Linked DNA regions of Pelodiscus sinensis. The protein of the gene in region 1 interacts with the protein of each later gene in a pairwise test. Links are inferred from orthologs where the notes say so. Each region holds a gene or a part of one and is shown in the gene's direction. Other genes may lie near its edges. The genes, in order: THAP1, RBM10, METTL13 and AP2B1.

The links.
Region 2: the proteins of THAP1 (region 1) and RBM10 interact in binary tests that used the Homo sapiens proteins (3 or more experiments, as listed by UniProt). The two-hybrid records come from large-scale screens. The link is inferred for Pelodiscus sinensis from reciprocal best matches to the Homo sapiens genes THAP1 and RBM10.
Region 3: the proteins of THAP1 (region 1) and METTL13 interact in binary tests that used the Homo sapiens proteins (3 or more experiments, as listed by UniProt). The two-hybrid records come from large-scale screens. The link is inferred for Pelodiscus sinensis from reciprocal best matches to the Homo sapiens genes THAP1 and METTL13.
Region 4: the proteins of THAP1 (region 1) and AP2B1 interact in binary tests that used the Homo sapiens proteins (3 or more experiments, as listed by UniProt). The two-hybrid records come from large-scale screens. The link is inferred for Pelodiscus sinensis from reciprocal best matches to the Homo sapiens genes THAP1 and AP2B1.

Annotation. Positions count from the first base shown.
Region 1 is NC_134716.1:3,815,895-3,823,519, reverse strand, and holds the start of THAP1 (THAP domain-containing protein 1), read left to right. Parts: upstream 1-4,620; 5' UTR 4,621-4,771; coding exon 4,772-4,842; intron 4,843-5,628; coding exon 5,629-5,830; intron 5,831-7,492; coding exon 7,493-7,625. Other genes in the region: transcription factor JunD-like, read right to left, coding at 622-1,794. UniProt on the Homo sapiens protein: DNA-binding transcription regulator that regulates endothelial cell proliferation and G1/S cell-cycle progression.
Region 2 is NW_027465846.1:58,708-66,230, reverse strand, and holds the start of RBM10 (RNA-binding protein 10), read left to right. Parts: upstream 1-4,522; 5' UTR 4,523-4,680; intron 4,681-7,523. Other genes in the region: NDUFB11 (NADH dehydrogenase [ubiquinone] 1 beta subcomplex subunit 11, mitochondrial), read right to left, coding at 3,425-3,613. UniProt on the Homo sapiens protein: Binds to ssRNA containing the consensus sequence 5'-AGGUAA-3'. May be involved in post-transcriptional processing, most probably in mRNA splicing. Binds to RNA homopolymers, with a preference for poly(G) and poly(U) and little for poly(A).
Region 3 is NC_134719.1:64,089,467-64,096,905, forward strand, and holds the start of METTL13 (eEF1A lysine and N-terminal methyltransferase), read left to right. Parts: upstream 1-4,434; 5' UTR 4,435-4,479; coding exon 4,480-4,632; intron 4,633-5,954; coding exon 5,955-6,708; intron 6,709-7,439. Other genes in the region: VAMP4 (vesicle-associated membrane protein 4), read right to left, coding at 1-26. UniProt on the Homo sapiens protein: Dual methyltransferase that catalyzes methylation of elongation factor 1-alpha (EEF1A1 and EEF1A2) at two different positions, and is therefore involved in the regulation of mRNA translation.
Region 4 is NC_134731.1:17,019,984-17,027,865, reverse strand, and holds the start of AP2B1 (AP-2 complex subunit beta), read left to right. Parts: upstream 1-4,872; 5' UTR 4,873-5,046; intron 5,047-7,882. Other genes in the region: PEX12 (peroxisome assembly protein 12), read right to left, coding at 641-1,040, 1,804-2,357, 4,399-4,524. UniProt on the Homo sapiens protein: Component of the adaptor protein complex 2 (AP-2). Adaptor protein complexes function in protein transport via transport vesicles in different membrane traffic pathways.

The DNA of each region.
Region 1 (7,625 bases):
TATTTATCAATGCCCCATGTTTGCACTGGCACAAGAAATAATATGGAGCTTATGATAAGAGTATTTTCTTACAGCTGAACCTGTCATTAAATAGGATTCCTTCTAACCTAAGTTGTGTGGCAGAATCTCTCTCAGCGAAGGCTAGATTTAAAACTAGGCCCATTCAAGTGCTTTACTCGCAGGGCTTCCCTATCAGCTGCAAATGAAAAGCTGCTCTGCAGCAATACAATCTTAAAAAATTCCTTTCACTGCTAAGAAAGAAATACACTGCCACATTTTGTTTTATACACACACACACAGACACACACTTTTTTTAAAAAAAAAAAATGTAGAATTTGAGCTTTTTCAAGCTGGGAATAGACAACTCTGAATCAAGCCCCGCTCCAGGGGGGTTAGAAAGAACGCCTCTAGCAGGGAAATAAAGTGGACTCTTTGTGTAAACAGCGATTCTTTCAGTCCTGGGAAAGCTGCACGGCGCGCACACCAGCCCCTTGCCTGGGAACTAGCCGCGCTCAGCCGGCGTGGCGCGCAGCGTGGCTCCCCCTCGCCTTCCTTCCAGCAGCTATGGGGAGCCCGTCAGTCTCGCATCCTCCCAGGCACCTCGGGGAAGGCGGGCGGGCTTCAGCAGGCGCTGGTCTGCGGCGCGGCGGGCTCGGGCGGGCCCTCGGGCGGCGCGGCGGGCGGCCCGGCGGCGGCGCTGATGTGGCAGCCGCTGGAGAGGTGGCTGCGCACGCGGCCCTGCAGCTGGCTGACCTGGGCGCGCAGCAGGCTGGCGGTGGCGGCCAGCTCGGCGTTCTGCCCCTTGAGCGCCTTCACCTTCTCCTCCAGCCGCGCGATGCGCTCCAGCTTGCGCCGCCGGCACTTGGAGGCCGCGATGCGGTTGCGCAGCCGCTTGCGCTCGGCCTTCAGCCGCTCCTGGCTCTCGGCGTCCAGCGGCGACAGCGAGGGCGGCGTCGGGGCGCCGCTGCCGGCCTCGCCCGGCGGGGCCGCCTCGGGCACAGTCTGCGGCTCCTCCAGGGCCCTGGCGGCGCCGGGCACGGGCAGGCGGCCCAGCCCCGGCGGCGGGGCGGGCGAGAAGGGCAGGCCGGGCGGCGGGGCGGCCGAGTAGGAGCCCGCCGGGCTGAGCGGCCCGGCCGGGTTGAAGCTGCCGAGGTTGGTGTAGACGGCGGGCGGGTCGCTGGGCGGGCGGGCCGGGCCGCAGGGCGCCGGGGAGAGCGGCGCCGCCAGCAGCTGGTTCTGCTTGTGCAGGTCGGCCAGGGCCTTGACGAAGCCGTCGGCGAAGCCCTCCTGCTCCTGCGTCACCGGCTGCCGGTAGAGGAAGGGCCCGGCCGCGGGGGGCGGCGCCGGCGGGGCGGCGCAGGGGCTGGCGGGGCCCAGGCCCGGGCCGCCCTGGATCAGCAGCTGCTCTAGGTCCGCCGCGGGCGGCAGCTTCAGCAGCGGCAGCTCCGCCGAGGACCCGGCCGCCAGCAGAGCCGCTTCCGGGCCGCCCCTGCCGCCGGCTCCTCCCCCCGCGGCCGAGCCCGGGGGCGCCGCGGCGGGGCTGAGCCTGAGCGCGGCGGGGCTGCGGGCGCTGCCGCCGGGCGGCCGGAGCGGGAAGGAGCCCGGCAGCGCCAGGGGGCCCGCCAGCTCCCGCTTCTTACCGGCCCCGAGCAGCAGCTTGTGCCCCGCCGCCTCCTGCCCGGGGCCGCCGAAGCCGGGCAGCGGGACGAAGTCGGGCAGCAGCTCCAGCCCCTCCTCGGGGTAGAACGGGGCCTCCATCTTCACCGCCGCCCGGCCGCTGCGGCCGCCGCTCATCCTGCCCGCCCGCCCGGCCAGGGGGCCCGCCCCGCCTCCGGCCGCAGCGGGAGCAAGGGGAGCCCCCGCGGGGGCTGCGGGAGCGTGCGCTCGCCGGGGGCGTCTGGGGGGCCCTCCGCCCGCCGCAGCCCTGCGCCCGGGGGTCCGCGATGGAGGTGGCGGGGGCCGGGCTCACCCCTGGCAGGCGGGTCGGCTCCCCCCGGGGGCAGCGGCAGCCTCCTCCGCCGCCCAGGGCTCCGCGCCTTCGGCTTGTGGCATTTACCGAAACTCCTACAGGGGAACTGATGTCAAACCCCCTCCCAGCGGCAGCGCCGCCTTCGCGCCCGCTCTCCCCGCCCCTCCGCCGGCCGCGGCGCGCTCTCCCTCCCGCCTGGGCATGGGAGCGCACACGGCTCCGCGCTGGCAGCTGCCCACACGCCCGCCCACGCTCCCTCGCTGCGGGCTGCACAGCGACGCCAGCTGGGAAAAGGGGCTGGGTCAGAGCGCTGCCCCTTGCCGCGAGCGGAGACTGTGTGCGGGCTGGGGTGGGGTCGCGCCCCATCGCCTTCGCGCCCCGCACAGGCTGGGGCGTGAGTCCCTGCCTGTAACGCGCACCTTTCCAAACTCCGTAGCCTGCCTCTGAGCCCGTCTGCATCCCTCTAGAGTCCCAAGGAGAAACCCAAGGAACAGACCGACCCACGGCCAGTGGCGGGGGACCGTAGGGCTGAAATAATCGCCCCCATCTGACTTTCTTTGCAGAGAGTACGCCAAGGAAACGCGCAGGTTGCATAATTAAGCGCTGAAACATCAGGACGTGCCAGATTAAAATTTTCATCTGCCACCATAACTCTGCCTGTTGCCCTCACACCGACTTTAATTACCTGCTTTGTTGTGTCTCAACACAGCCTCTCAGATTTCCACTAACCTTGCAAAGGGCATTTTGGAAAGTTTATAGGGAATGAGGCAGTGCAGTGCAGCTGCACTCCCCTAGCAGATCAGGTAAAGTGTACAGTGAAACAGGCTAAGGCGGTGCAGAATACCTAGCCTTAGCCAGTGTGTATATTGTATGCAACTGACCGATGAATTCTTTACTATACTCAGGGTACAACAAAATATAGCAGAAAATGCTAAATGTGTGTTCAAGGTTGTGTTTAGTGGGGAAGTAGGTACTTTTGAGCTGTAGGAAAACGGTGTCCTCAGTTACTAGGATGGGGAGGGGAGTTACCATTAGTTACAATCTCTATTTAAAATTCCTTGGGTCAGGGGGACTGATGTGGCCCTGACCAAACTGTTGATAGCTCCTTGTGAGCCACTGTTTACCATCCTTAGCTGGCTGAATGAATGAACCTCAAGTCTTTGTGACCCACCCATTTAATATTAGGGATGTAAAATTCCATTAAAAATGTTAACCAAGTTAAACTACATGTTTAATTAACTGACCTGTGACTGGGAGGGTGGGGGGCATTGGAGCAGCTCCCCATCCATGGCAGGGCATGGTGGGCCCAGCCATGGATAGAGGGCTGCTCCCGGCCAGGTGGGGTGCAGGTTAACCAGTTTTCCTTGTAAGCAGGCTAGTTAGGCAGTGCTTTACATCTCTAATTAATATACCAATTCTTTATTTCCCTATGATCCACGGACCCCTACCACCAGAAATCCCTCCTTCCTTGCTTCCCATCACATTTCCTCTATTCATTGGGCTTCTTGGCATAGTTCATTGCTTTTGGCCTAGAGGAGGCTGGCTGGTTGAGCGTCTCCGTAGCCACACGGCTTACATTGCCACACATCTCTGGGGTGTTTGACTATGCTGCTGTACCTCTCCTCCCACTGTTCAGTCCTGAAAAAGTATGGATGGGTGGGGGGGAAGGAGGAACTGAAAGACAGGAACAGTGGTGGGTAACCTGTGGCCCAATGGGGTTCTGTGTGTGGCCCACAACAAATTTTAGTGTTGCCCATGGCAAGATTGCCAGATTCAGCTGTTTTCTGTGGGCATAAGTTGTCCCCCTGCTCCTATGTATTACTAAAATGATATGCACAGGTATTCACTGTCTTTTTTCTCCCCTTTTTCCCCTCCTCCCCCTCCCTTATTTATTCTTGGATCTGGACTTTCAATACTCCAGTCATCTGAAGAAGTGAGCCCATGAAAGCTCATGATACAATCGACATGTTTTGTTAGTCGTTAAGGTTTAGACTTACAGACTATGCATTTACGTTTTTTTTATGCATGGGTAGGTGAAGCGAGGTGTGCGCAGTTGCATGCACTGACTGTGAAAGCCCTGCACACCCACTGCATCCAATCAAAGTGCTGCTAGAGTCCACTTGGCACACCCCACAAATTCTAGGTAGACAAGTGCAGTTACCAAAATCTCCCCTATCTTGGGAGACCAGGTGGATTACAACAAATCTGCAGCGCACTCAGCTGAAGGAGGGCCGCTCATGCAGCCGGGTCAGGAGCCTAGGCTGCCCCTCCCTGGGCAAGAAGGAGCCCTGGCCTGCCTGATCTTTCCCACCTCACCCAGGGCAGAGAGCAGCCCTAGTAGCTGCAGGGGAAGGGGCAGAATTTCTGGCCAAAGGCACTGGAGCGAGACTCCGCAGCAATGAAGCAGTCTGGACACCGCCTGCTGGCGCACGCTGGAAGCACAGGGACCCTGCTATCCAGATGTGTGAGCGAAGGGAGGCGGGGCAAAGGATAAGGCGGAAGCTGGGCGAATGGGGCCCCGCGCCACACGCGGAGCCTCGACGCCTATTGGTGGGCTGCGCGAAAAGGCTCCACCCTCGCGGAGGGGAACGGCCAATGGAGGCGAGCGAGGCACTGGTATCGCGAGAGTTCACCTGAAGCTGGCACCGCCATCTTGAAGTCGGGAGAGGCCGTGTCCCCTTTCTGCTCCTAGGGGCTAATAGAAAAGGGATGGGGGTCGGGCGGTAACTGGCGGTCGCCCGAGTCCTTGCACTCGGCCCCGGCGTGCTCCGGAGCGGGGCAGGCGGCCGCCGCCGGGGGAGAATGGTGCAGTCCTGCTCCGCCTACCGCTGCCGGAACCGATACGACAAAGAGAAGCCTATCTCCTTCCACAAGTGAGGACAGGGCCGGAGCGCGCCTGCGCGGGGCGGGAGCGCGCCTCGGCGGGAAGGGCCCCCGGGGGGGGGGCGGGGAGTAACTGTCACTGGCGAGCAGCCCAGAGCGCGTGCGCACCGGCTGCGGGGCGGCACGCGCGCACCCATAAGGGGGCGGGGCTGCGTGGGCACGTGGGACCCGTCGGGCGGGGGAAAGGCAGGAGGGAGGGGCCGCTGGGAGGCTGCCCCGCCCCCTCCTGCGAGCCTGGTCCGGCCCGCGGGCCGGTTGCCCGGGCCTGTTGTCCGGCCCGCGGGCCAATGAGGGGCAGGGCTGGCCCATCTGCCCCCAGGCCTGGCTTCAGCTGCCTGCTGGGCTCGGTGTGCGCCTGGCAAAGCCCATGAGCCGGCCTGGCAGTGACCATGCCCCTCCGAGTCCGCCCGCTCCCTGTCCAGGCCTCCTGGCCACTTGTGCCTTGGCCAGCCCCACGGCAGCACCTGCTTGTCAGTTCCCCCGAACCGTGCAAAACCCTGTTCTGCCTGCGGACACTGGCCCCTTGCGCCCCCCCATTGCGCCCCTATGCCCGCCGTAGGTGTATGCGCTGGCAAACCCAGCCAGGGCGCTGAATGTCGCAGGGCCAGCAGGCTGCCTCTCTGATCCCTGTTTGTACAGCAGCTAGCACCGGGCTCCTTGGCCCCGCCATGCCGACCAACCCTGAGTGCTGCACCCGTGCCTTTTGTATGCCTGCAGTGCTGTCGCTTTTCCTTAGAAAGCGGTTCAGTGGCGCTGAAAGTCCATCTCGTTTGCAGGTTTCCTCTCACCAGACCTGACCTCTGCAAGAAATGGGAAGCTGCTGTTAAAAGAAAAAATTTCAAGCCCACAAAGTATAGCAGTATTTGTTCAGAGCACTTCACTCCCGATTGCTTTAAAAGAGAGTGCAATAACAAGCTACTGAAGGAAAATGCTGTGCCCACGATATTTTGTTACACTGAACCCAGTGAGAAGATAAAGGTAACGTGAAAACTTTTTCTTATAATACTTTAATTTTTGTTACTCAAATACTGCAATATATGCATTTTTTTAATACAGAGAAGGGAGAAGAACCGTGTTAAGGAGATCTGGATTTTGTCTGCCCCTTTGTGTTTTTGCATATTAAACAGAGAGCAGGACAACTTTGAAGGGTCTAGAGGAGAGAGCGGCCAACTAGGTTAGTGAGTAGGCCCAATGAGTGACCCTCCTGCATCTCAGTGGGCCATGAGATTGTTGTAACCAAGATGGTCTTCCAGGATAGGGTAGTTTTGCTAACAGTGTTTGTGTACCTGACTGGTCCCGAACAAGGGAGTTTGCCAGACCAGGGGAGATCAATTCCAGCCTCTTGGCCTCGGCTCTCCCATGGGGTTGCCAGCCTCCCAGCTGGGCTCCCTTCCTGACCCTGCCAGCCCAGCTCTGCTGCCAGCTGCCAAGTTCCTGGTTGCTGGACTCTCAGTGGGCCCCAGCCATCAAGGCCCTCTGGTCCAGCAACATCCATGGTCCTGCCAGACCATGGATGTTGCTGGACCAGGGAGGTTCAACCTATATATGCAAAACGACAGGTGTAGGTGAGATACAGCTCATGTAGATGTCCTTTTTGGGTGATATTTCTGAAGTATTGTCCCATTCATGCATCATTGTGGAATTTTAAAACAAATTGATACATTTAACAGTAATATGTCAGCAGGGCCAAATGACATTTACTCAGAATGTCTGAAGGAATTCAGAAAAGAAATGCAGAACTACTAACTATAGTATGTAACTGCTGAAAAAGCCTATGTACCAGATGACTGGAGGATATTTAAAACAGACTCCGGAGGCAATCCTGACAAGTAAAGGCTGTTCAGCCTACCTTTGCTACCAGGCAAACTGGTAGAAATCATAGTAAATAACAGAATTACCAAGTGCATAGATAAACATGATTTGTTGGGGAAGAGTCAACATGGATTTTGTAAAGGAAAGTTATGCTTCAATCTATTAGAATTGGTTGAGGGGGTCAACAAGCATCTGTGAAAGGACGTCTTGGGTGGTTTAGTGTATTTGAATTTTCTGAAAGCCTTTGGCAAGATGCCTCACTAAAGGATTTTAAGGAAATGAACTAGTCCTGGAATAACAGGTCGGTTATGGATCAATAACTGGCTAAAAGATAAGAAATAAAGAGTAGAAATAAATGGTCCATTTTTGCAACAGAGAGAGGTTTCGTCAAAGAGCTGTGCTGTTCAACATATTCATTCATGATCTAGAAAAGGGACTGAATGGTGAAATGACAACATTTGCAAATGCAAAATATTCCTGCAAAATAGTTATGTTCAAAGCTGGCTGCAAAGTGTTACATAGGGATCTCCAAAAACTGGGCAGCAAAATGGGAGACAAAATGCAATACTGCTGTGTGCACAGAGATGTACATTGGAAAAATAATTCCACCTATACATGTATGATGGGATATCTAATTGAGTTGTTAACACCTGAGAGAGAGTTCTTGGAATCATTTTGGATGGTTCTCAGAAAACTTTAATGAAGAAGTTCTTAGCTGTTTTTGCTAGTAATGGATATGCTTATTGTTGTTTACAGACTACAATCTGGTGATTAGATGGCCTATTCCCAAAACAGATTAAAATGTACTTTTTCTCTTGCTGTTTGTAGACTGAAGAATTTACAGAGCAACCTGAAGATCTGTCTGCAGTACCACCACCCCCTCCACCACCACCTCCTTTGCTACCACCTGCTCCACCACCATCTTCCTTTCCTGCGTCTCAAATAGATGCAAGATTTGTAG
Region 2 (7,523 bases), on another chromosome or scaffold:
GCTGTTTCCAGCCGGCCTGCCCCAGAGGTGGCTGCATGTCAGCCCCGGGCAGGCACGAATCCAGCCAGTCCCTTCGTCCTCACAGCCTCGCTGAAGTCCCCCTGCTAATGCAGCCGCGATGTCCCTGCAAGGGGGCCAACCTGTCCCCCCCGCCAGCCCTCCCCCCATCTCGCAAGCAGCAGCCGGATTCCCTGCCTGCTCACAAGCGGATTAACACCCAAGCCAGAGAAAGGGAGCGGGAGCCGCAAACCCACAGCTCCCTCAGGGCAAGGTCAGGTGCCGGGAAGGGAGTGAAGCCTAGTGGTTAGAGCAGGCCGGGCGGCAGCCAGGTCTCCGGGGTTCACTGGGAGGGGAGCGAGGGAGAGGCTGGGACAGGATGTCAAATCCTGGTTCATTGGTTAACTGGTTTGACGATTAACGGGGGGCCGGGGGCACTCCAGCCCCCACCCGTTGGCCATTCCCATCCCTAGCGGGGAGCCGGGGTTCTGCCCTGGCCCAGGGAAGCCTCGAGGCCCGTACGGTGCGATCCGACGCCGGATACAACAGCCAGGCCAGGAAGGTGCCAGCGAAGAGAGGGAGCTGAAAATAACCCAGCCAGGGAGGGGGCAGCCCGCCACCCCCACCAGGAGCAGGAACTTGGAGGCGCAAAGAGCCCGGTTCCCAGCTGGCGGGAGGCCCGTTAGCGCCTCAAGGACAGCCCGAGGCACACGCGAGTCACCACAGCAGCCTTCCTCTGTCCTCGGGCGCTCCCCCCTCTGGGATGCAGCCACCTCTGGGCTGAAGCAGCTGGGGACCAGCCACACAGACAGGTCTGCTGCCTGGCGCTACCCTGCCAGGGCACGTCCCACTCGTGCATCAGGGCAGCAGACCACACGGAGCTGCTGTTTCGGGAGGGGGGAAGGGAGGGACAGCAGGCCCCATGGGAGCTGAGAATCGGTCCCTGCCCACGCACCAACCTGGCCAAGCCTGGTCTGACAAGGGGAGAGGATCAGCCTGTGGGTGGCTCCCAAACCGCTGGACCCCGCTCCCCTCCCACAGCCAGGGAGAGCTCAGGAGTCCTGGCCCCAGTCACCCCTCTGCTCTAACCATTGGACCCCGCTCCCCTCCCACAGCCAGGGAGAGCCCAGGAGTCCCGGCTCCCAGTCACCCCTCTGCTCTAACCATTGGACCCCGCTCCCCTCCCACAGCCAGGGAGAGCCCAGGAGTCCTGGCCACAGTCACCCCTCTGCTCTAACCATTGGACCCCGCTCCTCTCCCACAGCCAGGGAGAGCCCAGGAGTCCCGGCTCCCAGTCACCCCTCTGCTCTAACCATTGGACCCCGCTCCTCTCCCACAGCCAGGGAGAACCCAGGAGTCCTGGCTCTGAGGCCAGCAGGTCCCAGGTGAATGCCAGAGGAAAGGGGGGAATGTGCCCCTCATTCCAGCAGCCCTCAGGGCAGAGGCCCCTGGCTCCAGCCCCTCTCCCCCCATGGCCAGGGCTAGCTGGCTCCCCTGCTGGGCACTGCCTGTGACCCACATAGCATGGGCCACACAGGATTAAGGGGGTGGGTGGGAATCTAAACAGGGAAACTGAGTTGGGGGGGGGGGCTGGCAGCCACAGCAGTGAGGGATTTAGCACCTTGGTTCCCAGAGCCTGGAGTTCTACCCCCCCCCCCCCCCCCCGATCAAGCCCAGGCACGGAGCTGCCCCCGCCAGCAGCTCTATGCCCCATGGCCAGTGAGGCAGGGCACTGAACTCCTGCGGGGCCAGGCCCGGCGCCCGGGCAGGTGGGCACAGCTGTCGGAGGCAGGCGCTGCTCCTGCGGACAGAGCCCCTGGGGAAAACCGCGAGGCCGTGCTTGGGAGCCGGCTCCAGCTCGGCGCTGGGGGGCGCCCTCCCCTGGCAGTGAAGGGAGCAGAGAGCTGGGAAGGGGCCTTTTCCCAGGCAGCGTTCCCCACCCGCCAGCGACCTTGTCTGGGCCCGGCCAAGGGCAATGCACAAAGGAGACTGGGCAGCAGCCCTGGCTTGGTCAGCCAGGGAGAGAGGGTCTGAGGCGCTGGGTTCTCAGCCCACCCCCACTGGGGCTAAGGGAGGGGACGGGCAAGGGTGGGGCTTGGGCAGGGATTCCCCCCCCCGCGTGACTGTCTCTGCCAGCAGGATGAGCCCTTTGTGCCCCCAATCACCCTGGTCTCGCCTCAACACCAATCCCTCCCATCAGCCCCATGGCGCCCTCTCCCAGCGATCTCTACCGCCCCCCAACCCACCCCAACTCCCCAATCCCGCCCTGCCCCCCCACAGAGATCCAAGCACCTGACAGGCCTCACCCCAACCACACAGATGGGAAACTGAGGCACAGACAGGTCAAGGAATGGACCCAAGGCCACACAAGGAGGCTGTTGCAAATTAGGAATTGAATCTTGGGGTCTCACAGGCAGAGTTGGAACTCTAGCCTGGAGCCCAGTACAACCCCTTCCCCCACAAATCCCCCACCTGCCTATCCCTCCATCCCATCTGCCCTACGCCCCATTCTGCACCCTCCTTCCCTCTGCACTTGCCCCCAGGCCCCACTGCACCCACCCACAACCCTGAATCCCTTCACGATGTGCTCCTTCCCCTTCCCCTTGCTCTGGGTTTCCCGAGCACCCCCACTCGCTCTGCCCCCTCCAGCCCCCCCCCACTCTAACAGCCTGCCCAAACCCCTGCCCCCTAATGCAATCCCCGGCCCCACCTTGGTCCCCCAACTTGCCCCACCCCCACACACCCTGCTCTGTACTAGGGATGTGAGCGACCAGCCACTTCCCTGCCCCTTGCTGAAAAGCCGGTTCCCCCCAGCTCCAGCTCCATGGGAGGGACGCGGTGGCGGCTCTTGTACCATGGAGCTCCGGCCAGTGTGTGTGGGGGGGGGGCTCAGAGTCCCCTGCTGGCCCCGGCTCCAGTTCATTCTTTGCAATGAGCCCTTGGAAAGAGCCGGGCGGGCTCCTGCTGCCTTTCAACCCGGAAGCGCCCTCGGCGGCTAATCGAATAGTCGATTAACTAATCGCAGAGTTGATGGAAAATCCATCGAATAGTCAGTTAGTTAATTAATCAAAATTTAACATCCCTACTCTGCACGCCCCCTCCCACCCCCAGTGCAGCCCCCTGCCCCTCCCCCTCCAGGCCCCGCCCCCTCAGCCCCCCACCTCAGTGCCGAGCCCCACCCCTCCAGGCCCCGCCCCTTCAGCTCCGAGCCCCACCCCTCCCCCTCCAGGCCCTGCCCCTTCAGCTCCGAGCCCCACCCCTCCCCCTCCAGGCCCCGCCCCTTCAGACTCTCCCACCTCAGTGCCGTGCCCCGCCCCTCCAGGCCCCGCCCCTTCAGACTCTCCCACCTCAGTGCCGTGCCCCGCCCCTCCCCCTCAGGCCCCGCCTCCTCAGACCCCCCCCGCCCCTCCAGGCCCCGCCCCCTCACCTTGCGCAGCGTCGCCATCATCAAGTCCTCCTCCTCCTCGTGCGGCTGCTGCGGGGCCCGCGCGGCGAGGGGCGGGGACACAACGGCAGCCGCGGCCCCGCCCCCCGGGCCCGACCCCGCGCGAACCCCGCGCGCCGGGAAACCCCGCAGCAGAAGCGCGCGCCGCGCACACCGCCCCAGCGCCGCCATCTCGCCCCTGCGGGGGGAAGGGCACTGACGCGCGGAACCGGAAACCCCGCCCTGCGCGGCCGCGGCACGAGGGGCCCTGGCTGGGAGCGATCTCACGCTGCGTCAGAGCACGTCACAAAGGGACCGGAGCGGAATGGGGCGGGTCGCGCGCCGGGTTAAATATCGGCCCTCGCGGACTGTACCATGGAACTCCCCCCCTCCGGACTCTACCATGTTCTGCTGGGATTGTCCCATAGCACCCCCCCCCCGGACTGTACCATTTCTTACCGGAAGGGGGGTACAGTGCAAAAGCACTTCCTCATCCCGCCCCTCCTGGTACAGTTTGCCGTCGCCTATTCCCACCCCACCCGGACTGTACCATATGATCCCCCCCTCTTTTAGCACCTCTGGACTGTACCATATTCATCCTCGGAGGAAAAAAACCCTCAGCTCCCCTGGGCGACAGTCGCAACCCCTCCCCGTTCCCCCCAGCGTGTGCATGACGTCACGGCGGGCCACAGTGACATCACGTGACGAGGTCGCTGCACACCGTCACTGCACTTTGCCTGATGGCGTCACCGCCCAACACACCCATGATAAAAAAACTCGTCGCGTCGTGACGTGGCCATGACATCATGTCCCTGCGGTCACTCGGCTGGGTCATGACCCGGCTGTTCAGTGGCCGCATAGGAAGGCGGGCCCTGTGAGCGTTCCGCCAATCGCCGATGAGCAGAGGCGGGCCCTGTGCTCGCTCCACCATTCTTATTCCTGTGGGGGGGGCGGGCCTCTGACCTTCCAGCCAATCCCCTGCCCGGGGAGGCGGGCCCTCCAGAGGTGCCGCGAGCGCTGGGAGCGACTTGCCGCGGCCCCGCGCCCACATCCGGCGCGCGCTGAGCGGCAGGCTTGCCGGCCAATGGTATCGCGGCGCCGCGACCAATAGGCGCGCGGGGGGGCGGGGCCGCGCTCGCCGCCGCCGGGACAGTCGGCAGAACTCGGCCGCTGGAGCCGCCGCCATCTTGCGCGTCGGGCGGGCGGCGGGTGCGCGAGGAGCGGTGTGTGCGGCCCGGCCCGCGGCTCCCGCCGCCCAGGTCAGCGCCGCCGCGCGGGGGGCGGGGCCGCGGCGCCTGTGGGGGGGCGGCGCTGGCAGAGAAGCAAGGGGGGGCTGGGTCTGTGGGACCGTCCGGAAACGTTGGGAGGGGGCGTGGTCTGCGGGGGTCGGGGCGGAGCGTGTCGAGATGGGGGCGTGGTCTGCGGGGGTCGGGGCGGAGCGTGTGGAGATGGGGGCGTGGTCTGTGGGGGTCGGGGCGGAGCGTGTGGAGATGGGGGCGTGGTCTGCGGGGGTCGGGGGCGGAGCGTGTCGAGATGGGGGCGTGGTTTGCGGGGGTCGTGGGCGGAGCGTGTGGAGATGGGGGCGTGGTTTGCGGGGGTCGGGGGGCGGAGCGTGGCTAGATGGGGGCGTGGTCTTCGGGGCGGAGCGTGTCGAGATGGGGGCGTGGTCTGCGGGGGTCGGGGGAGGAGCTTGTTGTGATTGGGACCTAGTCTTCGGAGTCCGTGGGGGAGGGGGAGTTGGGTCGACTTGGGGGGCGGTTGCGGAGAGAGGAGCGTGGGGGTCGCTGGGGGCTGGAAGGGGAAAGGGAGGAACTGATGAGGGGTTGGGGCAGCTGGCGGATGAACCTGCTGAGAGACGAGCCACGGAGGCGCTGGAGCACGCTGGGGGGTGGCCAGCCAGGGGGGCAGTTGGGGGTCCGGGTGCCGTCACTACAGAGCCAGCTGAGGGTGGAGGCGAAACTGGGACCGGAGGCTCCCTCGCCCCCCCATCGTGTTGCTGCTACACGGGCCCTGGCTGCGCTCGGGGTGCCCTGCCGTGCTGGGTGCTGGGCAGAGGAAAGCCTGGCACGGCTCTGGTGCCACTGAGAGGAAAAGTTGGCTTGGCTGAGGTAACGTGGCTGAGCCAGGGAGCAGCTGGGCCTGGAGACGGGGCAGAGGCAGGTGCCTAGGAGGAAGGGAAGCCCCCTCTGGCCAGCTCCCCCATGCCCTGTGTCTGCCAGGGACCAGCCCCGGATGCTGCCAAGGGAGGGGGCTTGTGCAAGAGACTCGCTTTGCACTTTTGAAGCCTTGTTGTTGGAATTGTCCCACCCTTGATTTCACCCCTGCCTCAGTGGCCCCTGGTGGCAGTGAGTTTCACAGGCTTGTTAGCTTCCTGGCACGACTGCATCTCCCTGGCATTCATCCGTCGCCGGAAGGGCCTGGTGCCGCAGGGTGGGTGCTGAGCCCTGCCTCTTAGACACTGGCAAGCAGAGGCGTCCAGTCGCTGTTGCAGAAGACCCCCCCCCGAATAGATTGGTTTGGTGGAGTTTCTGTTGCCTGTGCGGGCTCAGACCTTAGAAGTGCTGGCAGCTTTCTCCTTTGCCACGAGGTGGGGAAGGACTCCGCCATTGTCCAGCTAAAGAGGAACCGAGCACCAGAGAGAGGAACAGCCCAGAGTTCAGAGATGCTCATAGGCAGCTCCCCCAGTGCACGGTTGGGGACCCCCTTTCCAGGGGTGCCTTGGTGGCAAAGCAGATCTGTGCTGCAGGCAGGGAGCCACGGAGGAGGGAGAGACCCCCTTTCTGTCTGGCTTTGTGCCTGGCACCCTGCGCTCAGCTCCGATAGCGCGGCTCGTGGGCTAGGCGGTGTGGCGAGGATCTCGGTGGAGAATGGAGCCGTGGAGCATGTCACTAGGCCCTGAGCTGGTTCTGTAGGTGATCCCGGTTCCCATGGTGTCAGCAGAGCTGTGGGGGAAGGAGAGTTGATCCTGGGCTGTGGAGAGAACCGCGTGTACGTGCCGCACTGTGGCTGGTTTCAGAGGGACTTGGGGGCTTTGTGAGGCTTTTGCTACAGAGCGTGGAGAGACCAGCCCCAACCCGTGCTGCAGGGAACCAAGGGCAAAGCAACCAAGGGCCTGGAGATAATCGATCTGTGTGAGGGGGTGGAGCGGGGGTAGCACCCCCCCTCTGTCTTCAATCAGACTCCCCTCTCTGCAGGTGTCCAGTGAGGGCAGGAGCCACGGCCTGGCTCATGCGACTTGCTGGCATCAGAGACACAGATCACAGTGTGGGACAGCATGCTCAGCCGGCTGGGGGGTGGGGAATGGGACCTGGGGGCCTTTCCCCTCCAGGGGGTGCTAGCTCCCATCCAGCTGCAGGGCGGCTGGCTGGCTCGGGGGGCCAGGGCTCGGATCCAGCGCTCGCTGGCTGCTACCCTAACGTTACCTGCTGTTACGGAGAGAGGTTGCCTGCCCCATGGGCGCCCCTCGACGGGCTGGGGGAGTCGGTCAGGTGGGCTCTAGCACGGGTGACTGGTCCGGCGAGGAAGCCGGGAAGTAGCCGGCCTCCTACCTCCTTGGCTGCGTCGCGAGGCCGTTCCTGTCAGGACTTCTCTTCGGTGGTGGCGCTCAGCAACGGGAGGGCGTCTCGGGGAAGCAGCCGGGGCCACACTCGGACGTGAGGTGACGCCTCGCAGACCCCAGAGCGCATCATGCTCTTGCTTCCATCTCCTGCTGCTGGGAGACAGCCGAGCCGGCATGTGACGAGTCCGGGCACCTGACGGAGCCGCTAGCTCTGGGCTGTGGGGGGAGGATGTGTCAGGCTCCCAGAACCGTTCCCCTGCGTAATGCAGGCAGAGGCTCAGAAGGGCCTGTAGGAGCCAGGCCTGCAGCTAGACCTGCCGCGGGCTCCTGGACAGGCAACCCTGCGGGGGAGAGGCTGGCTGTGGTCGGGGAGCCCGGAGCGGTCTGGCTAGTGCAGAACGCGGAGGGTGTTGGGCTGAAGGTGGGTGGGGGAAGCCCCTGGGGAGGGGAGGTTTGCGGCAGTGCGAGCTCAGAGAGGTGGGGCACGGGAGGAGGATCCCAGTGCTCTGGAGAGGACAACTCGGGGTGCTCTCCATGGTCCCA
Region 3 (7,439 bases), on another chromosome or scaffold:
AGGTGGCGCTTGAATTTTGGAGGCATCTTTCCTATTCACAGAACTGGCCTGGACTGTCTGTACCGGGGGGTGGCGGAAGAAGAGGCTGCGTAGAAGGGAGAGGGAAGAAAACATCTCAGAGCCCATTGTGCTGAGATCAATTCTCTGTCCGATCGCCGCGGTCTCCCTAAAACTCAGCCCAGTGAAACAGAATCCATTGACAAATGCCACAGGAAAGAGAATGAAAAATCAACCCACCGGCCCAGCAATGCCAGGCTTTCAGGGACCCCAAGGGACAGATCACGTCGTTCCGTCTAGTTTCAGAAACTTTGACCCTGAAGAGACGTGACGGTACCTGCTTATCTTTACGCATGTGACTGTGCAGGCCACATGTGAGTTTCCGGAGGGCCAAGGCCAAAGCGTTTAAGTTCACTGGGGCTGGGACTGTGTTTTTCTGCATTTTTGTACAGCTCTGAGCACAGCGGAGAACCGATCCACAACCCTTATCAAGCCCTTTGGTCTAAAACCCCAAAGCGACCAATTTTATCAAAAAGCCACAGGTTACTAAACCAGGAAAGAAAAGCAATAAAACCTGACGAGCCCCCACAGGATTTTGGCCAAGCGCGGTCTGCTCTCTCTCTTCCACCTTGCCCCCTTTGCTACGGTCAGTGCCAACGAGGGGCCCAGTTGGAAGAGTTAAACCCTGCTTCTCTACAGAACAGGCCCATCTCATGTAGGCACGGCAGCATGCAAAGTTCTCCAGCGTTCCTCCGCCAACGTGTTCCGTTCCACCTGAGCCAGACAGACGGCCCCTGCCCTTGGCGTCTTTGGGAGTGACCCACAGATGCCGAGGGTGGTGGAGAGCTGGGCTGGGTAAATATCTGTCAGCAAGGAACTGCACCCCACTTCATAGTGATCACTTGCAGGGCTGACCTCGTCTGGCTCCGTGTCCCAGTGACCCAGGAGGTAAAGAATCTGGCTCCCCGAGCCACCCAGTTCTATCCTAAGCGGCTTTCTACCCCAAGTACCCTGGATACGGCTTTGCGGGTTTGAACATCACCACTCTCCTCGGCTGCAGGAGTCAGTGGAGATGAAACGTTGCAATCCCGGGGAACCTGCCACCCCGGAGCGGGCACATGGAAAATTGCAGGGAGAGCCGTAGGCTGTGACAATACCAGAAATGCAGGAAATTTAGCCAATGTCCCAGCACAGCGAGCACTGTCTGCTCCCCTAAACAGCCAGACAGCCCGCAGCAGGGCAGGGCCTGTCCCCATGTGCTGAAGGATGAGAGTGTCGCTACAGGTTAAGAGCAACAGTCCAGACACAACCGAAGCCAGGAGCAAAAGAGGCACAAGTTAGAGAATCTGGAGAAGTCACCCAGGCAGCTGATGGGGGTAGGGGGGTACAATGGTCCTGGGCAAGGAGTGGGGGGGGGGCGGGTGTCACCCAGCTGGCTGGGCCGGAAGCAGGGACCACAGCGAATACGAGGGGCTGGGCTGGGGGTTATCGGAGGGATCATGTGGCCGGTAGAGGAGAAGCCCTGGCAATGAGCACAGGCTGGAGGAAGTGAGAGATACCCCAGTGCTAGGGAACTGCTTTCCCCGATGGGTCTCTCCTGGGACCCCTCCCCCGTGAAGCCCCCGAACCCCACTCCCCTCTAAAACCCAGCGCTTGGGAGGAGAGGGGACCCTGAGACGAGCTCACGTGCAGCATGAGTCTACACGGGGCCACCAGACAACAGCAGAGGGGGCAAGAGCTCTGCAAGCACACGTAGCTGGGAGCCCCCAAAGCCCTTCACCCACAGAACCCCCAAAGCCTCTCCACAGAACGGCCTCCAAGGACCCCCCCAATTCCCACCCCATTCCCCCCACAGAGCCCCCTCCCCAAGGGCCCCCTCCCCCCCTACAGAGCCCCCTCCCCCAGGGCCCCCAGGCCCTGCCCCCCACAGAGCCCCCTCCCCCAGGGCCCCCAGGCCCTGCCCCCCACAGAGCCCCCTCCCCAAGGGCCCCCAGGCCCTGCCCCCCACAGAGCCCCCTCCCCCAGGGCCCCCAGGCCCTGCCCCCCACAGAGCCCCCTCCCCAAGGGCCCCCTCCCCCCCTACAGAGCCCCCTCCCCCAGGGCCCCCAGGCCCTGCCCCCCACAGAGCCCCCTCCCCAAGGGCCCCCAGGCCCTGCCCCCCACAGAGCCCCCTCCCCAAGGGCCCCCAGGCCCTGCCCCCCCGGAGCCCCCTCCCGATAACCCCCCTGCCGGCCCCGCTCACCGCTCCGCGGCTGGGAAATGGCCGGGCTGCGCGGAGGGGCCCAGCTGCGAGTCAGCTGCTCCATCGAGCGCTCGGCGATCCGGGCCGAGCGCCGAGCCATCGATTCCTGCCCGGCGCTCGGCGGGCTGGCCCCTGGGGGGCGCGCGCGTGTCTCGAGCCCACTCGCGCGAGGGGGCGGGGCTGAGGCTCGCTGCCAGCTGGGAGCCCACGTGGGCAGCGGCGCGGCGCTCGGGGCTGTCGCGGTCCCGGCCCGTGTCCACGCGGGGGTGCAGCACGGGGGGGGGGGCTCTGCACCCCCCCGCACGCACAGCGATTGTTCAGTCCCAGTGCGGGAGGGAGGAAATGCCCCCGGCCCAGATCCTACAAGGCACTTAGGTGCGTGACTGCCATTGAAGCCAAGGGGAATTAGGCGCTTGCTGCCATTGAAGCCAAGGGGAATTAGGCGCTTGCCTTCGAAGCGCTGGCGTTCAGACGTGTATCAGCGAGCCCCCAACCCGCGTGACTAGACCCCAAAGATGTTAAGGCCAGAAGCGATGGTTGGATCATTCTAGTCTATACTGCAGGCCGCAGATTTTCACCCACCTGCACCTACTAGCTTGTGTCTGACTCACCTACATCTTCCAGAAAGGCGGGGGGGGGGGGGGGCGCGAACCAGCCACCCCCCGGACCTCTTCCGCACCCAAATGCCTCCCGCCCGCCTGTAGCTCTGCCGATCAGCACCTCCCCATCTCTCCACCACGATCAACTGTTCCACGGTGGGCACCTGCATTTTCTGTGTGTAAAAATCCTGATCAATTCACTTCTCAATCTTACTTTGGAGAAGAACAGAACATATTGAACTCTAAGACCCCCTACAGGGCCTTTTCTCCAGCCTTCATTCCTTCAAAGTAGGAATAAGAGATCCTCCGGAAAAGGGCTTTTTTCCGGAGGATCGGGGCCAGTGTAGACGCTCTTTTCCGGCTTTTCTAAAAGCCGGAAAAAAGCGGCGGATATTTTTATTTAAATGCCGCGGGGGATATTTAAATCCCCCGCGGATTTCCCTATTACGACCTGTAAAATTAGCATGCCCCTTTCGGAAAAGGGGCCAGTGTAGACGTAGCCCCTGTGTTTAGAAAAAGGAGATGGAAGCAGTCCCTCTTTGGAGCGAAAGCACACACACCTACGGCAAATCCACAAACTCTGCACAACGATACTTGCCAAAAGGAAGATCCAATCTGGGGCTTCCTGACTCAGAGGGTGGCTTTTAAAATGCTGCCGTTTGCGGAACCAGTTGCAACCGTGCAGAAAAGCAGGATGTTTTGCGCATACTTACAACCTTCCACAACTGATCTGCCTCTAACTGCTGTCACTATTGTAAATCTGCTTTTGGAAAATACTCTTTTGAGATTCTGATTAGCTGGGTTGTTTTTATACAAGCAGGAAACAAGCCTAACATATAGCTACCGTACGTTTTTGTTGTTGTTTTGTTTGTTTTCTTGCAAAGGCATTTGATGGCATTAATAATTCTCCATCTGTTATTTTGTTAAATATATGAGCTTCTTTCCAATCAGTGTATGCTGGGTGTCTGTTTATGCCAATATCATTATAACCTTCCCTCCTTTCCTCCTGTTTTCAGTAAACAGCAGTTGAACATTTGGCTAGTCTGAATGTGTGAATGGGTCTGATCCTTACCTGGTGTGAATTTATCAATCAAGCTATGCTGATTCGGATTTGGCTCTCTCTCTTCCCAACTGACATTTTGGGCAGTTGCACTGGTGTGGTCTAAGGGATGGTTCAAATGTACTTATGTATTTTAAAAATGTGCATCTGTCTGTCCAATTGTGAGTCTGTTTGTTCAAGAACTCTTCCTAAATGGTAAGGGCTAGGACCACCACATTTGGTATGCAGCTTCCTCTTCTGGGCTGCTACTTGTGTGCAGTTCCTGCCTCCTCTGGTCGCTGCCTGTCCCGATGTCATTAGGGTCCAGAGTCAACACCCAGCTGAGCGGAGAATGGCCACGCCCCCTGCCTGCAGGCTCGGGCAGGCGCGAAGCTGTAGCCACTGCCCCCTGGGGAGGCTTTGGTTCTGCAGCCCATGGATTCATGTCACAGCCTCCCAGCCCCGCCCCGGGGCCCCGCCCCCGCCTCCGAGCCCCGCCCGCCCCGCAATGGGCGGGCTCCGGACGCGGACGTAGCGTCGCAACGTCCCAGGGTCGCGCGGCGCGGCGCGGGCGCACGTGGGGAGAGGCCCCGCCCCCTGCCATGGCGCTGCTGCCCCGCAGCGCGCGCGAGTTCGGCTCGGCCGGCTACTGGGAGCGCTTCTTCCGCCAGCGCGGCGCGCGCGCCTTCGAGTGGTACGGCGGGTACGCGCAGCTCCGCCCCGCCCTGCGCCGCTACGCGCGCCCCCGCGACACGGTGAGACCCCGGCCCCCCCTGCGCCCCCCCGGGATCCCCCTCCCCTCCCCCAGCGCCCCCCCGGACCCCCCCCGGGATCCCCCTCCCCTCCCCCAGCGCCCCCCCGGGATCCCCCTCCCCTCCCCCAGCGCCCCCCCCGGGATCCCCCTCCCCTCCCCCAGCGCCCCCCCCGGATCCCTCCCCCGGGATCCCCCTCCCCTCCCCCAGCGCCCCCCCCGGGATCCCCCTCCCCTCCCCCAGCGCCCCCCCGGACCCCCCCGGGATCCCCCTCCCCTCCCCCAGCGCCCCCCGGGATCCCCCTCCCCTCCCCCAGCGCCCCCCCGGGATCCCCCCCGGGATCCCCCTCCCCTCCCCCAGCGCCCCCCCGGGATCCCCCTCCCCTCCCCCAGCGCCCCCCCGGGATCCCCCTCCCCTCCCCCAGCGCCCCCCCGGATCCCCCTCCTCTCCCCCAGCGCCCCCCCGGACCCCCCCGGGATCCCCCTCCCCTCCCCCAGCGCCCCCCCGGGATCCCCCCCGGGATCCCCCTCCCCTCCCCCAGCGCCCCCCGGGATCCCCCTCCCCTCCCCCAGCCCCCCCCCGGATCCCCCTCCCCTCCCCCAGCGCCCCCCCGGGATCCCCCTCCCCTCCCCCAGCGCCCCCCCGGGATCCCCCTCCCCTCGCGCCCCCCCGGGATCCCCCTCCCCTCCCCCAGCGCCCCCCCGGGATCCCCCTCCCCTCCCCCAGCGCCCCCCCCGGATCCCTCCCCCGGGATCCCCCTCCCCTCCCCCAGCGCCCCCCCGGATCCCTCCCCCGGGATCCCCCTCCCCTCCCCCAGCGCCCTCCCGGATCCCTCCCCCGGGATCCCCCTCCCCTCCCCCAGCGCCCCCCCGGATCCCTCCCCCGGGATCTCCCTCCCCCAGCGCCCCCCCTGGCATCCCTTTCCTTCCCAGCGCCCCCCCCCGGGATCCCCCTCCCCTCCCAGCGCCCCCCCCGGATACCCCCTGGGATCCCCCTCCCCTCCCAGCGCCTCCTCCGGGATCCTGCAACCGCTCCTTCCCCCTGAGATCCCTTCCCTTCCCTCCAGCGGGATCCCCCTTCCCCTCCCCCCAGTGCCCTCCCGGATTCTCCCTCCCCCAATGCCCCCTCAGCATCCCTTCCCTTCTCCCAGCAGCCCCCCCGGGATCCCTTCCCCCTCTCTCCCCCAATGTCCCCCCCCCCGATCCTCCTCTCCCCCAAGGCCCCCCCCCCCCGGCATCCGTTCCCCACGGGTGTTTGCTCGTCTCCATGGTGTGTGAGGCGGGTTGGGACCCCCAGGGAAGCTACCCTCTCTTTGCATGTCCCAGGTGCTCGTGGTGGGTTGCGGCAACTCCGAGCTGAGCGAGCAGATGTATGACGTCGGCTACCAGGACATCGTGAACGTGGACATCAGCGAGGTGGTGATCAAGCAGATGAGGGAGCGCAACGCCGACAGGAGGCCGAAGATGAGCTTCCTGGTGATGGACATGCTGCAGATGGACTTCCCGGACGCCCGCTTCCAGGTGGTGCTGGACAAGGGCACCCTGGATGCCATCCTGGTCGACGAAGAGGAGGCCACTCTCGAAAGGGTGGACAGGATGTTCGCTGAGATTAGCCGGGTGCTGCAGGTTGGGGGCCGCTACCTGTGCGTCTCCTTGGCCCAGGCCCACGTGGTGAAGAAAGCGGTGGGCTACTTCTCCCAGGAGGGGTGGGTGGTGCGCATTCACCAGCTGGCGGGCAGCGAGGACAGAGAGGCCCAGCAGCAGTTCGTGCTGCCCGTTTTCCTCTACGTCATGACCAAGTGCAAGAAGCTCCCTGGTTTGGTGCAGCCGATCCTGGAGATCTGCACGGAGGAGCTGGACAAGCCCGTGCGGGTGGAGAGCGCGGAGCGGCTGGTGGAGGCGGTAAAGGAGAGGCAGATGTACGCGCTGCTGCGCAGCCAGCTGGACAAAGCCCCCGGTGCGGGCGACGTCTCCCTGGATCTGTGCGACGCGGACACCGGGAAGCCTCGCTACACGCTGCACGTGGTGGACAGCCCCTCCGTGAACGCCTCCCGTGACCATCACTTCGCCATCTTCATCGGTGAGTGGAGCTCCTCCGAAAAGGCGTTTCTCTCCCATCGACGGCAGCGGGGGCAGCGTTTCGCCGCAGGACTCTACAGTTCTGCTCGTAAGCCCCTGGTTAGGTATAAAAAGGCTCTGATTTTCACCTATGCTGGCTCCTAACCACTCCTGTTTGTTTCCACGGCAGTTGCTGGGTGTTCAGAAGAGAGGCTTAGGGGTTTTCCAGCTGAACGTGGGCTTGTCGGCAGAGGCTAGCAAACCCGGTGAAACGAAATAGTGCCCCAGATCTGCCACTGTCACCCAAACAGAGGGCGGGTTGCCTTTCCTTCCCCCGTCCAGCTCTCGGGCACTGAGCATTTCTCCCGCTGATTCTCCAGTAGCTAGGATGAGACGTCCCAAGTGAGGGCACCAGGAAGCCGGACACATTTTGTGTCAGTTCTCCCGAAACGGAGTTTTTCTTTAAATTCCTTCCCATGACAAGCTTTCACGTTTTCGACTGGCTTTTCCAAAGTGGGGGGAAATTCCCCCCCCTTCCAAACAAAAATCAATTCCTTTTTTCGGAAAGAGTCCCCTTTCTTGGCCAGCGCTGCTCAGCAGCTCTGCAAATCGAGGCCCTTATCAAAGCCGCCTTTAAAGGCGGTAGAGCCCCCACATTTAGATATCCAGGCTTGAAAATCTTGGTGTTCGGGAGCAACAAAACAAGCCATCTGTGTGTAGGCAGAGCCCAGCCACTGGCCAAAAAAGCAGCGT
Region 4 (7,882 bases), on another chromosome or scaffold:
TTAGCAGTGGTTTAAACCTTAAGTGGAATGAATCTTAGTATCATGCTAAATAGGCAGAGAGGACCAGCTTTACTACATCAGCAGTTACTAGCAGATTTAAGGATACATTCAGCAAAGTAAATCTGAATCAGGGTAGTTTCCAATTTTAATCTGGCTTCAGCCACATACTGAATAAACCCAATTGAGACAGAACGGAGTCTGCTTGCTCCTGTTAGCATTGCCTGGCTTGCTAACTTCACCTGAGCCATCCAAGGGGAGATTTGCAGGGGAGAAACGGGACAGCTTAACCTGACTGGTAGGTACAGCCCTGTTCTGTAAAAGCTCTCTTGTGAATGCCAAGATGAAGTAGTCTTAGGAATGTAGGAAGTGCCAGGCTGGACCCAAGCAGAGCTTCATTTAGGCCTGTATCTGTCTATGATAGTGGTTTGTACTAGAGCCTTCTGGTTGAATTTGCCAACCTCGCCCTAGCATCTCAGACTTGGATAGAGCCTGATTGCTCTGCTAATAGACTGTCACTGTGCCCTTTGCTGCTCTAGCAATGTTAGACACAGTCCGGCTGGCTGAAAAGGTGTGCTCAAGAAGCTAGAGAGTGTGCAGTGCTTGAACCCGTTAGGGATCTGCTTTGTAAGTATCAGTGCAGTCAACTTTCAGGGGAGTACAGTTTGACTAGGTGCTGCAACTCTGTAGCATAGCCCGTGATGGGGCACCTTTGGTGACTCTTGACATACGTGTAGACACAGCGATAACAAAATACAAAGCCGGACGTGGAAAGGACTGTATCGTTGGCTCGGATTTTGTGGCACAACGGGCACACGGTCTTAAGTGCTGGCAAGAGGGGTGAGCGTATGCCATGATCCAGGTGCACAGGTGGCGGAGGAGTAGGCAATGCAGTCAAGGATTTGATGGTCTCCTGGTTCTCAGATGAGTACCACCAGTCCAGAAACTGCAGGAAGAACACACCCACGGAGAGGCCGGTGGACAGGGATAAGGCAATACCTCCCAATGCTTTTTTCACTGTGGATTGCACTTGCTCCTTAATGCTGCAGAAGGGAGTAAGATACAGATAGACAATTAGCATTCCACCTTGTCACCTGCCTGCAAACTACAGTGCTGACAGACAATAGTTTCAGAGGCAATTCCCAGCTCTACAAATCAAAGAGGCTTCAGGGCTAGTCACCTACTGCTTTTTTTTTTTTTAAGGGGGGGGGGGGAAAGCTTGTTACATGTTCCTGATGTTTACAATGTTATTTAGAATCGGAAACAAAAAACAGGTATTTCAGGTATGTGTAATTTGCTCTTTGATCACAGCCTGCATGAAATGTGGAAAGTTGGCTGAGGCCCAGTAGTTCTTAGTGGGAAGGAGCGGGATTGGGCTACAAAGGAATTCACTCATGGGTTGTTGTTTCAAAGCAGGCTGAGGCTGGGAGTGTTCACAACTCAGTGCCTTCTGTGCAGGATTTCTGTAGAAACAGAATTGCTAATCCCAGTCCAGTAATGGACAATTTACCACCCAAGTGGGTAGGTACGCCCATCTCAGAAGGGCTCCCAAGGACTGAATAGGTTCACAGAGACTGAACCCATGCAAGTTAAGGCAGATTTGCTACTGGGTACCTCTGATGTTTGACTTTGTTTCCCTTCTGCTCAATGTGGCCTTCTTTGAACACGTTTCAAAATTATAGGAGCTCTCTTTGATCCCCGTACACTGAGACAGTTTTGTGCTATAGAACCATCTGGGTATAGAACGACAGCTCCAAATAGTCCCACATAGAATTCTAAACTGTACATGGCTCCTTTGAAACTTACCTGCATGCTACCTGCTGGCCTGCAGTTGCTTCTGCTAGTTTCTGCTCCAGTGCCTGGATGTCCTCTGCTGTCAACCTAACCAGACGCACACCAGCCAGGCCCAGCAGTGGGGAATGATGCTGAGCCTTCCCAAGAAGGTAGCACAACTGCTGGCTGAGAAACCAGCCCTCCCAGGCCATGTTTACAAAGGGATAGGCAGCTAAAAAGGCCCTGTAAAAGCGCTTCCAAGCTGATGATGGAGGATGGATGGAATATTCATCCTCTTCCCTCAGACTGGAGACCAATTTCTCCAACTTTGTTTTCAGGTAGGGAATGAGAACCAACAAGAGGAGAGACTTCCAGTGTTGCTTCTTTGGTAGCCCAGCACTGGCCAACTGCTGCAGCCCCTTTCTGTCTCGCAATGGTATCCTCTTTAGGCCATAGAAGTTTTCTGAAAAAGAGGCACTACACTTGGTGAGAAAATGCTGCTGGAGCAACAGATCCAGGAGGGCGTAGATCTCATCGAACCAATGCCAGAGGAAGCCGTAGCAGCCGGGATTGGATTCAGCAAGCACCTAGCATAAGTGGAACAGGGAAGGAAGCAGTGTCAAAGGGCAACTCAGTTAAAGCAATTCTGGTCTATGTATCCAGTATAAGAAACAGACTGGAGCAGTGATCAGAATAAAACACTGGCTAGTAGAACTTTGGTCCTTTGGAAAATTAAATCATTCAGTTTGTTACCAGTATACAACTGGCAACATGGTATCAATGTGTGCAGCCAGCTTAAAAACTGGTTCCCCCCCAGCACCGTCTCCATGGGGAGAAGAGGCAGGGACACAGCGGAGAAGTGGCAGCACTTCCGCCTTTGAAATGTAGCAGGACTCTTGCTCCATTTCAAAAGTAGAAGCACTACGGGGAGAGCTGGGGACTCAAAACAGTCCCCTGTTGGCCCCACACTTCTGGCACTTTGCTTTTGAAATGTACAAGAGCTATTCAATTAGTTGATTAATCTAAATCAACATAGTGAGTAAAGGGCATTTCTCCGGGGACACATTCCCCAATAATGAAAGTGTGTCTCCTACAATTATCTGACTGCATATGTATCCTCACTGAAACAGGGTCTCAAAAGCACCGTGTATATTTGTGTTTTCTCTCCAGGATCATTTGTTCAGAATAGATGCCTTGGTACTTCATGTCTGGAACTAAACTAGCATTATCGGCAACAGTCAGAAGAACTTCGACCTGGGCACTAATCCCGCATGTGCTAGAGAAAGAGGCAGTCTAAACTAGGGATGTAAAAGTGTAAATGACTAACAGGTTAACTGAGCGGTTAACGGTGTTGGTTACACTCAGCCTCCCAGGCAGGCGGCTTTGCTACAGCAAGGGCTGCCGGCTCTGCTCCTGGGAAGCCTCTTCCCTTGTTGCTGGGGAGGCTGTAGCCTGGTTAACCATGTAACTGCTGAAAAAAATCTCAGCAGTTTTTGAAAAATGTACATTACATTGTTACATGATTTTAAATATCCCTTGTCTAGACACAAAACTTGGAGCCAAGACCTGAGCACCAGTCAGTCCTACTTCTGCTTTTGTCTTCATCTGTTTCTTTGGCAAGCCACCTAACTTCACTGCTTGATTGTCATTTGGAGAGAACGTTTCACTCCCTCACAGGATTGTTGTGAAGACAAGTTTATGTTTGTACAGTGGTCTGAACACAGGAGGTGCTAATCAGTGCAGTAATTATAGGCAGTTTATCCCATGCTTTGACAGCACAAAAGAAACATCGCATACCTGCCACCCAGGGACTTGTTTTCCACACAAAGGAGCCCTTTAAGTTTCTGGGGGTCCAGAATTCTCAGCTCCTGGGCCATTATAGTATCAGCCATGGAGAGGTTACAATCTGTGCAAGGCTGAGCCAATGCATCTACTCAGGCATAGGAGTTCTGTATCCTAAAACTGCACTTTGCCTTTTTATAGCACCTTCCATTCAAGTCACTAAAGTGCTTTCCCAACATGACAAACAACTCTCAACCTCTCTGTGAGGTAAGTCTGTATTATCCCTCATTTTACAGAGAGAAAAACCAAAGCATGGAGAAATTAAGTGACTTGCCTAGGTCTCTGGAAAATCAATGTCAGAGCCAGGAAGAGGCTACAGGAGTCCTGAGACTGCTTTAACCATTAGCTTGTACCTCTCCTCCTGGATAAGGTAACTGACCCCAAGTACATGCTTGACACTGACATTAAAATTGATTCAGCTGGAACACTGTCAGTTATCTTCAGAATTATGACACAAAAGCTTTGTCTGTGCAGGATGGAGTAGAAAATCCCTGCCACAATTTGTTTCCAGTGAAAATACTGGCAAGTGTCTATCCGTAATATAACACAACTGCACCAATGTTTTATAAATGCAACTGAGCCAAATAGTCAATGAGACTTCAATTCTATATGCAAAAGCTCCTAAGTGGAGACTAAGGTACCACGTGCGCGGTGGGATACAGACATTAGGCCAAGTTAAAAGGTGTAACACCAAACTCACTTCAAGTCCTATTTTCACATTCACATTTCTCATGCTCTACCTCCTCCTCCCTAATGGGGGGCTGGGGGAGGAGGGTCCATCTTTACCTTGGCCACGTGCTGGAGTGCAGGTCTCACGGCTGACATCAAGCTGTCCTGGGCCACCACCTCAAAGATGGACGGTGTGTCATCGCTGGCGGAGGCGGCTGTGAGGTGAGCCCCGCGCTCTGCCATGGCGCCCCCGTGCAGCAGGGACTGAGAGGGGGGAGGTTTGTCCCTCTCAGCTCAAGGCAGCGGGCTGCGGGCGGGGCAGGTGCGGTGACGTGCCCCACCCTAGGGGTGCGCCGCGGGACCCGCCGTGCCCAGCAGCGCTGGGAGTCCCCGCGGCGGCGCTGAGGGGCCCTGGGCTGGCTCCTGGAGTCCCCTGGGGGAGGGGCAGCCCGGGGGCGTGCGAGTGACGTCAAACGCCCGGGGAGGGAGGCGGGGCGCGGGAGGGGGGCGATTGGGGGGGGGGTCTCCCGGCCGCACACTTACCCCGGGGCCGGGTCGCCCGGACCGGAAGTGGGAGGGGGCAAGAGGCGGCGCTCTTTGCCCACAGCCGCGTCTCTATGGCTTCGGCGGCGCGTACGCGCTAGGCGAGGGTAGAACTCTATCACCCTGAGCTGCTCCGCTTCCGGTTCCCGGCCACCGCCTCCTCCGCAGCGGTGTGAGAGTCTCGGCCGCCCCGCCCCGCCCCCGGACCGCGCCCGACGCCCGGTGAGCGGGCCCCGCCGTGGAGCAGCCCGCGGGTTTGGGGGGCTCTGAGGAGGCCGAGGGGGCGGGTCCGCAGGGCGCGGCCCCGCTGGGGGGCGGGTCCCCTTTGTCTCCAGCCCCGCTCCTGGGGGCCCGGCGCCTTGTCGGGTGTCACCGGGAGACGGGCGGGCTCCGGGTTCCCCCCCTCCCCCCGTCTGAGCCCCGGACTCTTCCCCTGGGGCCCCCTGAGGCGAGCGGCCCCGCCCCGAGGGGCCCCGGGGCCGGGCACAAGAGGAGCCCGCGCCCGCCCCGGTTCTGGGCGGTCAGGGCCGGGGTGTGGCGGGTGCGAGCCCCGCGCTGCTTGGAGGCTGTTGTGCGGGAGGGCGTGTGCCACGGGGTGAGACCCCTCTGGTTCAGTCTCCTTGTGAATTTCGGAGGCTGAAAGGAACCGCATGCGTGTGAACCAGCAGCGCGCTCAGAGCAGAGCCGAGCCCGCGGGGTATTTCCTTGTCATGTTCTTTTCTTATCTGGGGTGAGCACAGGCCTCTTGCTGCAAACCTCAAAACCATTCCCAGTTTACCTGTTTGAGCTGAGCAGGTGCTGGTTGGATACCAACTGGGTTGCAAGAGCACAAAGATGAGCTTGATCGCTCATCTTTACAGCCTCAGTCTTCTTTAAACATCCCTCAGCTCTTGCTCATAAAAATCCCTGTTTTCCATCTTGAAAAATTTTTCAACTCTCCTCTTGGTTTGATCTGTGTATTTCCTTGATGGTTATTTGAAACCATTGTCATTTGTGAATCACTGCTCTCACATTGCTCTTTGTTTCTTAGGTTTCACTTGAGACTCACTGTGCCCTATAATGGGTTTCTTAGTAAACTAGATTATACTGAGCACCAGTGGGAAATTGCCTTTGACAGCATGTCTGAAGCTAGCTCCAACATAGTGAAATACAATACTCTGCACCCTGGGGAAAGGCAGTTTTGTATTGTATTTAGAGTATTGTGGTGATGGTGCTTATTAAAATAATAGTCATAAATGTTGTTTGTAATCTGCCAAATCAGGAGGTCATTAGGACACATACTGTGACTAGATTTAAATCAGAGTTGAGTAATTTTATGAGTGCTAATGACATTTGTAACCAAGCAAGCTAAAATAATAAGGCTAATGAAATCTCGGGCTTCAGGGCATAAAGGTCTCCTGTGAAGTTTAGCAAGGCATTTTCCTCCTCTGTGTAGCATTGCGCAATTAGTTAAATGTGCATGTAACATTGTGTTACTCGCCACAGCAGTGGCTCCTGCTGGACACTCAGGCTATGTCTACACTTGCAGCTTCTTGCATGAGAAATATGCAAATGAGGCAAAGCGTGGAATATTGCCAAGCCTCATTTGCATAACTAATGAGCCACCATTTTTGCAAAAGAGGCTCTTGCGCCAGAGGGAGCTGTCTACACTGCCCCTTCTTGCGCAAGAAAAACCCACTTGCACAATGCCGTTATTCCTGAAAATAATCAGTGTAGCAGCATTGTGCAAGAAGGTTTTTCTTGCGCAAGAAGGGGCAGTGTAGACAGTTTCTTCTGGCGCAAGAGCCTCTTTTGCAAAAATGGTGGCTCATTAGGTATGCAAATGAGGCTCAGTGATATTCTACGCTTACCCTCATTTGCATATTTCTTGTGCAAGAAGCCGTGAGTGTAGACATAGCCTCAGGGATTAGCTCCTGTTGGCACTGGCGCGCCCCCTTCCAGTCGGTGTCTCACCTTCCTGTTAATCTGTTTTCCATCATGTATCTGTTCCCATGTTCCTCCCAGACTGCAGAGCCCTTTCCTCTGGGTCCTGTCTTACTGCAGTACTTCCACACTGTGGGGCCCTCCCTTCAGGGAACCCCCAAGACCCTGTGCCCACCTTGCCTCAGTGACCCACTGCCAGTTGGCATCTAGACCCTACTTCTGGGCAAACTGAAGTCTGAAATGGCCACTCATCATTGGCATGGGGGTGGACCTAATGCCTTCTGCTGCTCTGGCTCTTTCAGTCCTAGGACACTCAGGCCTTGAGAGAGAGGCCTCAGCCAGGAAGTTTGCCTGTTCAGAGCTCCCCAGCCCTGGCCTGTGTCAGGAAGCTTCTATAGCTTCCCTGGCAGCCAGGTCTCTTCTGCTCCACAGCTGGAGCAAGAGTGTGTGTCTCCTCCCCTCTAGGAGCCCTCATTTATACAGCCATAGCTGCTGGCTCCACAGCCCCAGCCCTCTTCCAAGGCTGGATTTAACCCTTCTTAGGCCAGAGCAGGGCAGGTGCCCCATCTCAGTGCATTATTGGATTTTTGACCTTGCCTTAAATAGCCAGGTATTAGCCATTATTAGAATGGCAGACTGAATCAGTGGCGGTTCTGGCCAAAATGAAAGATCCCTGTGCATAAGAAAACTACAGCATAGTGCAAGAGCTACATTAGTGCTCATAACAATGGTGTTGTGCCTGATGCTTTAGTAAGTGAAAGACAAAGTCCTCTTTCAAACTAGGCTAAGCTGTGAAGCTGCAATAGAATTGCAGCTGCAAATAGGCTGCATTTTTAATTACGAAATGAGGCTAATAGCAATTTCCTCTCTCGGAAAGCTGTGGGGATTGCTGCCAACAGTGGTAAGCTTCAGGTATTTAAATTCAGAATGGTGCCATAGCCTGGGCTTTTTGAGTATCTTTCTCCTCTGTCCCTGTCTTTAAACATTGCCGCTTGTGTTGCTGCTCCCAGACACAAAGCTAGCTTATTGGCAAGGCAGTAGCAGAACCAGCGTGAACAATCCTGATCAAGGTCATGTTGTTGTAGTTGCTGGGGTGTGAATGGATACACCTGTACGAATACCACAGGCAAGATCT